Linked DNA regions of Xenopus tropicalis. The protein of the gene in region 1 interacts with the protein of each later gene in a pairwise test. Links are inferred from orthologs where the notes say so. Each region holds a gene or a part of one and is shown in the gene's direction. Other genes may lie near its edges. The genes, in order: cryab, crybb2 and lbh.

What was found.
Region 2: the proteins of cryab (region 1) and crybb2 interact in a two-hybrid assay, tested with the Homo sapiens proteins (2 studies listed by BioGRID and IntAct). The link is inferred for Xenopus tropicalis from reciprocal best matches to the Homo sapiens genes CRYAB and CRYBB2.
Region 3: the proteins of cryab (region 1) and lbh interact in a two-hybrid assay, tested with the Homo sapiens proteins (2 studies listed by BioGRID, with this or other methods). The link is inferred for Xenopus tropicalis from reciprocal best matches to the Homo sapiens genes CRYAB and LBH.

Annotation. Positions count from the first base shown.
Region 1 is NC_030683.2:84,501,224-84,505,547, reverse strand, and holds the start of cryab (alpha-crystallin B chain), read left to right. Parts: upstream 1-1,392; 5' UTR 1,393-1,787; coding exon 1,788-1,982; intron 1,983-4,324. UniProt on the Homo sapiens protein: May contribute to the transparency and refractive index of the lens. Has chaperone-like activity, preventing aggregation of various proteins under a wide range of stress conditions.
Region 2 is NC_030677.2:147,786,561-147,790,212, forward strand, and holds the end of crybb2 (beta-crystallin B2), read left to right. Parts: intron 1-1,323; coding exon 1,324-1,456; intron 1,457-2,344; coding exon 2,345-2,487; intron 2,488-2,880; coding exon 2,881-3,049; 3' UTR 3,050-3,197; downstream 3,198-3,652. UniProt on the Homo sapiens protein: Crystallins are the dominant structural components of the vertebrate eye lens.
Region 3 is NC_030681.2:6,602,510-6,606,645, forward strand, and holds the start of lbh (protein LBH), read left to right. Parts: upstream 1-1,329; 5' UTR 1,330-1,435; coding exon 1,436-1,461; intron 1,462-4,136. UniProt on the Homo sapiens protein: Transcriptional activator which may act in mitogen-activated protein kinase signaling pathway.

The DNA of each region.
Region 1 (4,324 bases):
CCGAGTATACCTGACACCTCACACGCTGGGCCAAATTTACCCGGGTTATCCGTATGTATGCCCCAAATGCAACATTGAGCAAGGTAATTACATGCATATTTTTTGGGACTGCACTGAAATCCAATGATTTTGGTCAGAGGTACTGACTTGCAGCGCCACAGTCCCAAATATCTGTTCTCCAACTTTATGCCTACTTGGACACATGGAAGGACTATCACTTAACAAATACGATGAACTATGCCTCCTCCAAATTCTACATTTCGCCAAAAAAGCAATCTTAATGACCTGGAAGGCAACTTTAAATTAACGACACCCTTCCCAGTCAAAAGCTAACATATCTGGCTAGGAGATGCCCAGACAAATTTAACAAGATATGGGACAATTGGCTGAAAGACATACATCAACCCTGAATGCCACCACAAACTGGATATAATAAAAGGGTACATCAGCATGGACCCAAAACAGGGGCATGGACATAACAAATGGACACAATTAACGGACACTGGACCAGCAGTTTTAATTAATAGCTTCTTTATTAAGAACATAATAAAAGGCCATGGGACAAATGTAAGACAAAGTCAGTAATGCACTTGATAAGTAAGGAAGCCCAAAAACACCCCCCCCCCTTTCCCCCCTATCTACACTATTCTTCTTCTCTTATTTCCTCATTCTTTCCTTCTCTTTGTTTGCTCTATGCAAAATTTTTGAAAAATGCAATAAAGAAAATGTTAAAAAAAAAACAAAAAAACTTGTCATTGTCAGTCTGTGACATTTCCCTGCTGATCAGTGTGTGGCCAGTTATACCCTAAAATGGTGACACCTGCTGTGCCAGAACTACATGAACCCACATTTCTGTTTAACAATCTTACCCGCAGATCCATTAGTTAGATCAATGCAATTTAGCCATCCACAAGTGCGACCAAATAGAGCAAATGCCTGGTTAATCTATGATGTTCTGGAAGTTTGTCGATATGTGATCAACTTTAGCCACTGAGTGATTTATCATAGTAAAAGGTAATGGCAGTAAAGTATGGCAGTATAGAGGAAAATGAAGGTTTCTTGGACTGGACCTTTTAGCTTTCTACATTATTTGCTGATCAGAAGTTGGTGTCACAAACTCTGTGATGAAAAGTTTTGATTTACAACATAAACATATTTAACATGTTAATTGTTTAACCTGATGACTAACCTAGAAAGATATGAATAACATTATAATAAAATAATAATTGCACACTGCGTGTATATTTAGCTTCTTTGTCAGCAATGATCACACCCATGTAGGCATTTAACTCCCCCTCTGCCAGTAATGCTACATATTACAAGAATGAAGTTGTTCTAGTCTATACGCACCCTGTAGGAAGCTGGAAAAGGGTTGGATGTTTCTAGAGTATTACGGATTAAATCAATTACACTATCAGCTGTCAGATCTGGGCATGAAATCATCCTTGTCAAGTTACAGGAGAGTGGCTGAATAGATCTGTTGAGCCAAAAAGCACAGAAGTCGGAAAGTAAACAGAACGATAATCAGCATCTCTTCTTGCTGATCCAGTGGGCTGGAGAGTGAATAGAGAATTTGTCATGGCACATATCCAACAGCACTCTGCTGAATGGGGGCAGACGAGCATGGTTGAATAATGAAATCACCTGACATCAATTTTCCAGAAGGTTCAATGTTTGGGTGCAAGGGTGGAGCTGACTGGCAGTCCATTATATATAAGAGCTCTAGGTCCATTGGCTAACTCAGACCTTGAGCTTTTTCTTTCATAGTAGCCACAAGCAGCAAGAAAATGGATGTAGCCATCCAGCATCCTTGGTTCCGTCGTCACTTTTACTCATTCTTTGGACCAAATAGGATCTTTGATCAGAATTTTGGGGAACACCTTCACGAGGCTGAACTTTTCCCAACTTCCAGTGTATCACCCTTCTTCTTCAGATACCCCTTCTCCAGGCTTCCAAACTGGATAGACAGCGGACTGTCTGAGGTAGTTTTCTTTTTAAACCTGCAAAATGCTGAGCCTAGAGGGAGGCCTGGGAGGTTTAAGAGTACAATTAACTTTTTTGCATTGCCCAGTCAGATCTTATAATGCTTATAAGGAAAAGGGCAAGTAAATTCAATGGAAATATTCATCCAAAGTTTGTGTTTTTCTACATTCACAGTACAAATAGATACATTTACAAAGGATGCTGATTAATCAATGTAAATGCAACAAATCAATGTAATTAACTGAGTTTCTTTAAAGAGTAAAGGTGTGTAGAGTGGCTAGTAATATGTTAAAGTAATCATTTTACCACCAATTATAGTAACACCATTTGACAAATATTTCCAATTGAATATTAAGATAATATTGGCTCAAACAAATGTCTTAAACAGAGCACTAGGTAATTAAAACAAACATATTGGAAAAGAAAAAGACTATAGAACAGTTATATTCATTTATTCTGTGGTCAGATTATATTCCTGTGCCATTTGAAACATCTTATCTAATTATACACTGTACTCTTACAGAAGAAAAGTGGTGGATAGGAAAACATTTTTTAAAGCACTAAACTCTGTAAATAGTGTTGATATGGAGTTTCTAACAGTGTCTAGAATTGCTGTGAGTGTTGCTGTATGCAGCAGCTCTGTGTAGTTAAGGTTCTGCTGCACTCAAATAAAACTTCCCCCAGTGGTAGATTAAGAGCAGCTTTGTTCCTGGGCTGAGACATGTTTGCTGATACCACAAGTCACCAAATATCAGCCCTCCTAATACTTTCTGGGAAGGTTTTGAGTTCCTTGAGTTCCATCAAGCACCTGAGGCCTAAAGAGCCCATAAAATGACCACCACTAAGCCCCTTTTACCAGGGACCCTGTGTCCTGCTATTTGTAGCACCCTTCCTGGCCTTTGGTGTCAAATATGGAAGTTACTTTAAATCTTAGTTAACATTTCCTGATAGGGTAAAAAGTGGGGAACACCCAGCTCACAAAAAGTGGTGGAAAAAAATCAGACATTTTCTAATAAAAGCCAAAAGTGAAATAATACTTTTTAAAACAAAAATATGCTTTTTATAAACTTTCATAAATATAGCTCTAAAACAGCAATATTAAAAGCTAAACTCCTGGCCGTTATAGCTTGACTTTTGATTAATGATGTGAATGTGATTGCAGTCACTGTAGTGCCTTCAGTTATAACCTACGGCTGTTAGCAACACACACCCAGTCGCCTGCAAAGTTTACATCTAATTCAGTTTGGAAATGTGATGCTCCCAAATGTTGATACTGTAACCACATTAAGTAAAAGTACAAATAGTTTGCATGCACCAATTTTCTTTGGTTTGTTCAAACACCAAACTAAAGCTGAATCATATTTTGCTTATAAAAAAGTAAGCTTCCCTAAGCACCCACAGTTCTACTTAGAACCACAGATACAGCTTTTAGATAATGTTTTTGAAATTTTATTTGAAAAAATATGCTTTAAAAATGAACAATAAACAGTGTGTTTGGATCTTGTTACCCACTTGAAAAGTTATAGAGTAAAAGGTGGGGGATAAAGGTTCTTTACATAAAAGGTGAGGTTGCGGTACGGCTTAAGGCTAATCTAATGGCTAACAAAGTATCCCTTATTTTTAAATGATTAAACCACTATTATTTATTTCAGTAAAATACTGTAGCTGTTAAAAATGAGGATGCGGGGTTAGCTCTATCTGTTTCCATTTTCTCCAGATTCAGTTTTTCATGTCATTTGCAAGTCTCTGCTATTTTATCCACTACAGACAGCTCTGCAAATTTCCAGAGTACATCAGTATTTACCATTACTTCCTTATATATCACATTTTTGTAGCACACGTATTTTATTTTTTTCCCACAATATGGTCATCTCTGATATTTCCCCCAGTATACACACCCGTGCCATTTCTTTCCTGTACAGCCATCCCTGCCTTTTCCCCCTATACACCCATCTGTTTTAATTTCACATAATATAACCAACTTTCTCTCATTACAGCTAGATCTACCAGCTTTATCATTAACCCTACATATAATCACTTCTGCAATTTCTTCTTATTTCTATTTACCTCCAATCACCTCTGCGATTTACCCAATATAGCCATCTCAGATATGTTTCCCCAGTAAAACCATGTCCACTATTTGCCCCAGTCCAGCCACTGTTAACACTTACCACCCAATACAAACCTGTACCACTTTCTCCCTGTATAGCCAATTCATGTTTCCCCTAGACAACAATCTCTGCAGTTTGATCTAGTTTTGCTTCTTGGCCATACAGGTCTTTGGATAACCTGCTAGGGAAGTTCCTAAGACTACATTGCCACTACTCTTCATGTCCCTAAG
Region 2 (3,652 bases), on another chromosome or scaffold:
CTTAGCAACTCTTTACTGCATGCCTGTATACCAGACCCTGCAGTAAGAGATAGTGTTTACACTAACATTTGTGCAACTTCCACCTGTATAATGGGTGGAACCCCAACCATGCAATAAAGAGCATATGGCACACTATCTCTTCCTTAGCATGAGTGGCTGATACACATTGCAAATTTAGAAACCAAAACAGCTGTTCTATCAGTTCTAGCACTTAGGGGCAGATTTATGGAAGTGTGGGATTAGAGCTCACTACAGAATAAGTCACCCACTTTCTATTCATTCCTATTGAGACAAAAACATATTTCTGGCTTAGAGTTTTTGTGATCCACACCTGTGAGTTTCAGGTCTCACCTCTCTTTAAGTTACAATGTGCCATTGTGATTGGTTTAGTGAAAGAGTATGTACATATGCTGAGGACTTCCCATACCAGTCAGCTGAACTGAAGAAGCTCCTCAGATAAGTAGTAAAACATCTTCAATGATTACTCAGCAAGTCCAGTTGCCAATTTCCACACTTTGTTTACTAAAAAATAATTTAAACAGTAAATAAACCCAATAGGATTGTTTTCCGCCAATAAGGATTAATTATATCTTATATCAAGTACAAGGTACTGTTTTATTACTACAGAGAAAAAGGAAATCAGTTTTAAGAATCAGAATTATTTCTTTAAAATAGAGTCTATGGGAGATGGCCTTTCCGTAATTCAGAACTTTCTGGATAGCGGCTTTCTGGATAAGGGATCCTATACCTGTCTTATATAACAAAAAGTTAAATAACTAACAAACTACAAATAATAAAAATGAAGAAAAATTGCAAATTGTCTCAGAATATTACTCTGTACATCATACTAAAAGTTAAGGATGCACCGAATCCAGGATTGGGTTCGGGGTTTGGCCAAGATTCTGCCTTTTGGCCGAATCCACGCTCCTGGCCGAACTGAATCCGAATCCTAAAAATCATATGAATTTTTCTCATATAAACACGGAAGTTAAAAATGTAACCCTTACATTACCTAATTAGTATATGCTAATTATATTATATGCTAATTAGGATTCGGTTCGGTATTCTTCAGCTAAATCTTTTCCGAAGGAGTTGGTGCATCTCTACTAAAAGTTAACTCAAAGGTGAACAACCCCTTTAAATGCTGAAGAAAATGGGCTTATTTTTCAACCTAAATTCTCAAAACCCCTCATCACTTTAAAATGAACGTGAAAGTTGTTACAGAGCAATGACACCTACAGGCCTTTTTAATTTTATGCCACATTAGTCTGAACAACACTATGCTTTTGTTTAATGGGAACCAAATGTTTCTCCTTTCCACAGCTGGGTAGGATATGATCAACAGAACTGCAAAGGAGAGCAGTTTGTCTTTGAGAAGGGAGAATACCCACGCTGGGACTCCTGGACCAACAACAGAAGGACTGACAGCATCTCTTCCATGAGACCAATCAAAAATGTAAGTGCTTAGATACTTCACAATGAACTTACTTGCCTTTAGTGTCCCCCATACTGTAACAATGTGCATTAAAAAAAAACGATGTTGCAAGCCTCTGAAGAAATCACTTTAATTCCTAAAGAAAAGCTAATATACAAATGGCAAAAGCAGCACATTTCTCATAAGGATGGCATACTGTTATGAGAACTAAACCCTAAAAACAAATATGGCTGTATGCCGTATTTTATATCCTGAACTTACTTCACCAGCCTAAAGGTTAAGCATCTCTATAACAGCAGAACATGAGGTTGGTCTGTCATAGAAGCTGATTCTACAGGGATGATTATTCAATTCAGATACATTACATATGAATTGCATTTGCATTAGAGAGCTGCTATTTAATGAGAATCTGAATTAATTACTACTCTGCCTTGTATTGTGACATTTATATTCTATATACACAGTATATTGTTTGTCCCTAAGCTCAGTAACTGACAGCAGCACAGAGCATGTTTGAAGAATCAGCAGAAAAGAAGATGGGGGGCTTCTGGGGCATCGTTGGAGACACAGATCTTCCCTGCTAAAGGGCTGTGGTTGCCTTGGGCTGGTACAGAAGCCCAAAATTTAATATGCAGCATGTCTACCTTACTTCTTTGTTAATTTTTAGCTCTCCTAAATATTATATTGCTCAACATGAGTGCAATGAATAGGGCTTGTTCTGAACATACATTATAGCTATTGTTTTAATTATGAAAAATGTGTTTTTGTTATTTAAATAAGTAATAAGTAATGAATTATTTAAGTTTTTAGAATTGTGCATAATATTTTAACCAAGTAATAACAGTCAAGGTTAATTATGGTTTTATTTAATGACTAATTTTGGAAAATATTTGAAACATTTTTTTTTAGGACAGCCAAGAGCACAAGATTGTCCTCTATGAAAACCCAAATTTTAGTGGGAAGAAAATTGAGATAATTGATGATGATGTGCCTAGTTTCCATGCTCATGGTTATCAAGAGAAAGTGTCTTCTGTTCGAGTACTAAGTGGAACGTGAGTATAGGTGAAATATGAGTATAGGTGAAATGTGTTCAGTCCCCACATGCCAAAAAGTTTCCCCAAGACACTGTGGGATTTGGCAGAGACAGTAATAAACAGAATGCATCTGTCCCTACTTGTGTACATGTGATTTCTCCAAAGTTTGCTGTTAAGCACCGGAAAGCCCTGCATGCACTGGTTAAGTCAACTAGAGAAGTTTGATCTTCCTTGCAGACTGACCAATCCATGTGTATCCAATCTATGAGCTGTGGAGAGAACAAATAAGGGAACAGGCAAAAAGCACAAATGACTAGCAATGACTGGTGCATTCAGTGCGGTAGTTTCACTTGTGCTTTTTTGCTTTAAAAGAAATTCAGGGAGTTATAATGTGTTTTTTTTTCATTATAGGTGGGTTGGCTATCAATACCCAGGTTACAGAGGTTACCAGTACCTGTTTGAGAAGGGGGACTACAAGGACAATTCTGATTTTGGTGCCAAGCACCCCCATATCCAGTCTGTGAGGCGCATACGTGATATGCAGTGGCACCAGAGAGGAGCCTTCCACCCTACCAATTAAGGGTGATGCCACTTAAAAGTGCGGGGAGGTACAGAGAGGCTTACATGCAATCTACTGCTGTTTTTCCTTTGGCATGCCTCTCTCAGATGCCACTGTGTGACTAATGCTGCTGAATCAATTTAATAAAAAGCTTTGACTTTCAGACTCACAGATTCACTTTTTGTGTCAGTTATTATGAGAAGTCACACTGGAAGGCAATATTGTCAATCTCCAAATACCTAAATACATATAATAATGAAAAAAAAATCCACAACATTCACTGTTAAAGTGTTCCTTATGTCTTACAAATGCCTCATCTTGAGACTAAAATATTGGCATGAATATACATTTACTTTCAAGGTTCCAGTTCCTCACCAACCATTGGTGCTCCAGCTGTTTCAGAATTATAGGTTGGGGAAAGCACCACTGGTATTTGTAGAATTTGTAGCCCCACAACTGCTAGAGAACATCATACTGACTAGGTAACTGTGATTCCCAGTCCTATACCCACAGCCTACTGGAGGACAATGTGGTTGCAGTAAAGGCTTATGAGGACGGCAGATCAACTAAAAAGTAATGATCCATGAGGCTTAAGGGGCACTATACACTGAGAGAAATGTATAA
Region 3 (4,136 bases), on another chromosome or scaffold:
GTCCCTATCCCATTCCCATCAGTCCCTGCCCCAGTGAGCTTACAATCTAAGGTCCCTATCCCATTCCCATCAGCCCCTGCCCCAGTGAGCTTACAATCTAAGGTCCCTATCCCATTCCCATCAGTCCCTGCCCCAGTGAGCTTACAATCTAAGATCCGTACCATATTCCCACACACTAAGGTGTTTGCCCTTACTGGCACTCTATGGGTTAACTATTCCTCCGACTGATACAGATAAGGAATGAGTATAAGGCTGATTTTACTCAGGGGAACGATTTAAAACAAGAGCGAATGTTGCATTTGCGCAGGAACACTCAGCAACCAATCAGGCGCCAGGATTGACCCAAGTAACGCAATTACGCTAATGAATAGAAATTTCCAATGGGCTGTTAGAGATTTCTGCAAAGTTGCCCCTATACTTATCAATCATACCCCCCCAATGCACAACGTGACCCCGTAATTACATAGGGACCATTTGATAGATAAGAGAAAGCTTCTGTGCCAAAGAGCTGACACTCTAAGTCTGAGCGAATGAGGCACAGGGAGATAACGCAGCGCCCCCCCAAGGTCACGGGCAGAGGACACAGCAGCCAAAGCCAATTCCTGCATTGGACTCTGTACCCCCAGGATTGAGTTGGAAACAGGGGCCCCCCTGGCCATGCAGAGAGGTTGGGGGGGGTGGGGATTTACATAAATCAATGACGTCATGATAAAAAAAACAGTTGTTTCATATATACGGGGGGGGGGGGATTGTGCTGTTAACCCCTTCCCTGCCACATCCCATTGCATTCACTCACACCCCCTCATCAAATTCCAAGGCTTTGGATAAATCCGCCAGTCTCCGGAACATTCTACTCAAAACCAACCCCCCCCCCCTGTTGAAAAAGTCTTATTTCAGATTTACCATGAATGAAGGTGCTATTCAGGGGTGCTGCCCCCCCCCAGGCACCCCTGAATAATCTACTCCCCCCCCCAGCCAGACCAAGTGAGGGAATGTGGAGAGGCAATAAGGGAGACAAAGGGCAAGTGTGGGGCTTAAACCTGCACAGAACAAAGAGACAGGCTGAATGGGGGGGGGGGGGGAGAATGCAGGTGATTGCAATCCCCGGCCTCTGATTGGCTGGGAGGGATGAGTGAGCATGAATGTTCAGCGCCTACAAACCCAGCACATTGTATCCAGGGGATGAGCAGCCAACATACACCCATTCATGTTTCTACTGACGTCAAACGGGCTGGGCGTGGTGCCAGCTGGCCCCGCCCCCTATGTTATATAAGGCAGTGCGGCGGCAGCGGCAGGGTCAGAGCGCTCCGGAGCGGCGGGAGAGGGACTGTCTGTGCCAATAGCCAATCAGGACTGTGTTGTGTTCTGCGAGTGGTTCCGATTAGCCTATTGGGATCCATTTAATCCGAGCAGTTTGGCAGCTCCTCTGGGCTTAATGTCTGTATTTTACCCCATTCACTGGTGAGTACTGGGAGTTACTGGGGGGGGACTGGGAGATACTGGGAGTTACTGGGGGGGGGACTGTGAGTTACTGGGGGGGGGGGGACTGTGAGTTACTGGGGGGGGACTGTGAGTTACTGGGGGGGGGGGGACTGTGAGTTACTGGGGGGGGGGGACTGTGAGTTACTGGGGGGACTGGATCGGGAGGGGGGAATAAGCTCCCAGTTGGAACCTCTCCCCTGAGATTCTTGTACTGGGGCTAATCTGGCGCTGCTGCCCCCTGGCGGAGGGGGCTTTTAATGTTGAAGGATTTCCCGGACCCTTCTGCAGCTACTGGTGGTCGCATATACTATATTAGTTGCAGCCAGTCGCAGTGGTAGATGGTAGATGCCAGGGGGTCACTTCTTGCTGTAGATCCTGGAGATGGGGGTATGGGGTGAGTGATAACTCTGGGCACTCTGGTTGGTGTCTGGTCTCCTGGGGTATTAAGGCTTTCAACAACCCCCCCCTCCACCCCCAAGTGACCAGAGTTGCCCCAAGATGACAGTATTTGTGCTACTGGGCTTTAGGTGCCTGTGAGGGGGGCATACTGGGCTTTAGGTGCCTGTGAGGGGGGCATACTGGGCTTTAGGTGCCTGTGAGGGGGGCATACTGGGCTTTAGGTGCCTGTGAGGGGGGCATACTGGGCTTTAGGTGCCTGTGAGGGGGGCATACTGGGCTTTAGGTGCCTGTGAGGGGGGCATACTGGGCTTTAGGTGCCTGTGAGGGGGGCATACTGGGCTTTAGGTGCCTGTGAGGGGGGCATACTGGGCTTTAGGTGCCTGTGAGGGGGGCATACTGGGCTTTAGGTGCCTGTGAGGGGGGCATACTGGGCTTTAGGTGCCTGTGAGGGGGGCATACTGGGCTTTAGGTGCCTGTGAGGGCGGCATACTGGGCTTTAGGTGCCTGTGAGGGCGGCATACTGGGCTTTAGGTGCCTGTGAGGGGGGCATACTGGGCTTTAGGTGCCTGTGAGGGGGGCATACTGGGCTTTAGGTGCCTGTGAGGGGGGCGTACTGGGCTTTAGGTGCCTGTGAGGGGGGCATACTGGGCTTATCCATGGGCAGCCTGGCATCTTATAACTAAAAACACTCGACTGGGAGTTTTAATTCTGCCCTTGGAGCTTCTCCAACTTTTTGCTCTTGTACTACAGCTCCCAGCATGCCCTGACAGACTTATACCCTCCCTTCTCTGCCGCTGGAACCCCATCCGACTCTCCCTTTGTTACCCTACAGGCTCTGTGGATATAATTAAAGGGACCAGGCTGTTATATTATACCCGGTCTCTCTATTCCTGGCTGCGGACTGGTTTCCCGTACCCAAGAGCTTACTGTTGTGCTGTCCCCTTGGCAACACCACCTGTAGGTGCGAGCCGCACATTTTCCATGACAGCATTGTGCATGACTTTGCAGCGCTCGTTATGTATTAAAGAGGCGGCCATTCATTGGGCGAAATCATTCACAAGCCGACAGTGAGGCGAGTCTCCGCCCGTAGCCTTCATTCACAAAATCAACCCCCCCCCCCAAGCGGCAGTTAAAAAAAACAAAAAAAACCACCCAAACTGTAGATATTGGGGTGTAAGCGAAGGGTCTCGGAGCTGTGGGGCTCATTTTGGTCTGTAGAACTTGCTGCTTCTATTGTCTGAATCCCTGTGGGGGCTTTATAGTCGCTCCTTGCCCAGCTCTATTGCCCCCTGCTTATTGGTTAATAAGGCGCCCGGGGTAATTAATGAGGAATTAAGTCTGATTCTTGCTTAGTAGATCGGATTTATCAGTTTGACCTTGTGGCTAAATCCAAATGAATTGCAGCAGCGTCTCTAAGACGGTTGCAGGTATTTGTATTGCTATATAAATCCTCTGTGCCTTTAAATCTTTCCAGGTGGGGACTGGCATAGGGAAGCTAAAGATGCTCAAGCTGTTGTTGAACTACAGCACCGAATGTTGAAGGGAGCTAGGGGGTGTCATTCGGAAACAGCCGCAGGTTGACTTTTAGGGTGAAGACACACGTAGCTACTACAGGTATAGGACCCATTATCCAGAATGCTCGGGACCAAGGCTATTCCGGATAAGGGGTCTTTCCGTAATTTTGGATCCCCATACCTTAAGTCTACTAAAAATCAATAAAACATTAATTAAACCCAATAGGATTGTTTTGCCCCCAATAAGGATTAATTATATCTTAGTTGGGATCAAGTACAGGTACTGTTTTATTATTACAGAGAAAAGGGAATCATTAAACCATTAAATAAACCCAATAGGGCTGTTCTGCCCCCAATAAGGGGTAATTATATCTTAGTTGGGATCAAGTACAGGTACTGTTTTATTATTACAGAGAAAAGGGAATCATTTAACCATTAAATAAACCCAATAGGGCTGTTCTGCCCCAATAAGGGGTAATTATATCTTAGTTGGGATCAAGTACAGGTACTGTTTTATTATTACAGAGAAAAGGGAATCATTTAACCATTAAATAAACCCAATAGGGCTGTTCTGCCCCCAATAAGGGGTAATTATATCTTAGTTGGGATCAAGTACAGGTACTGTTTTATTATTACAGAGAAAAGGGAATCATTTAACCATTAAATAAACCCAATAGGGCTGTTCTGCCCCCAATAAGGGGTAATTATATCTTAGTTGGGATCAAGTACAGGTACTGTTTT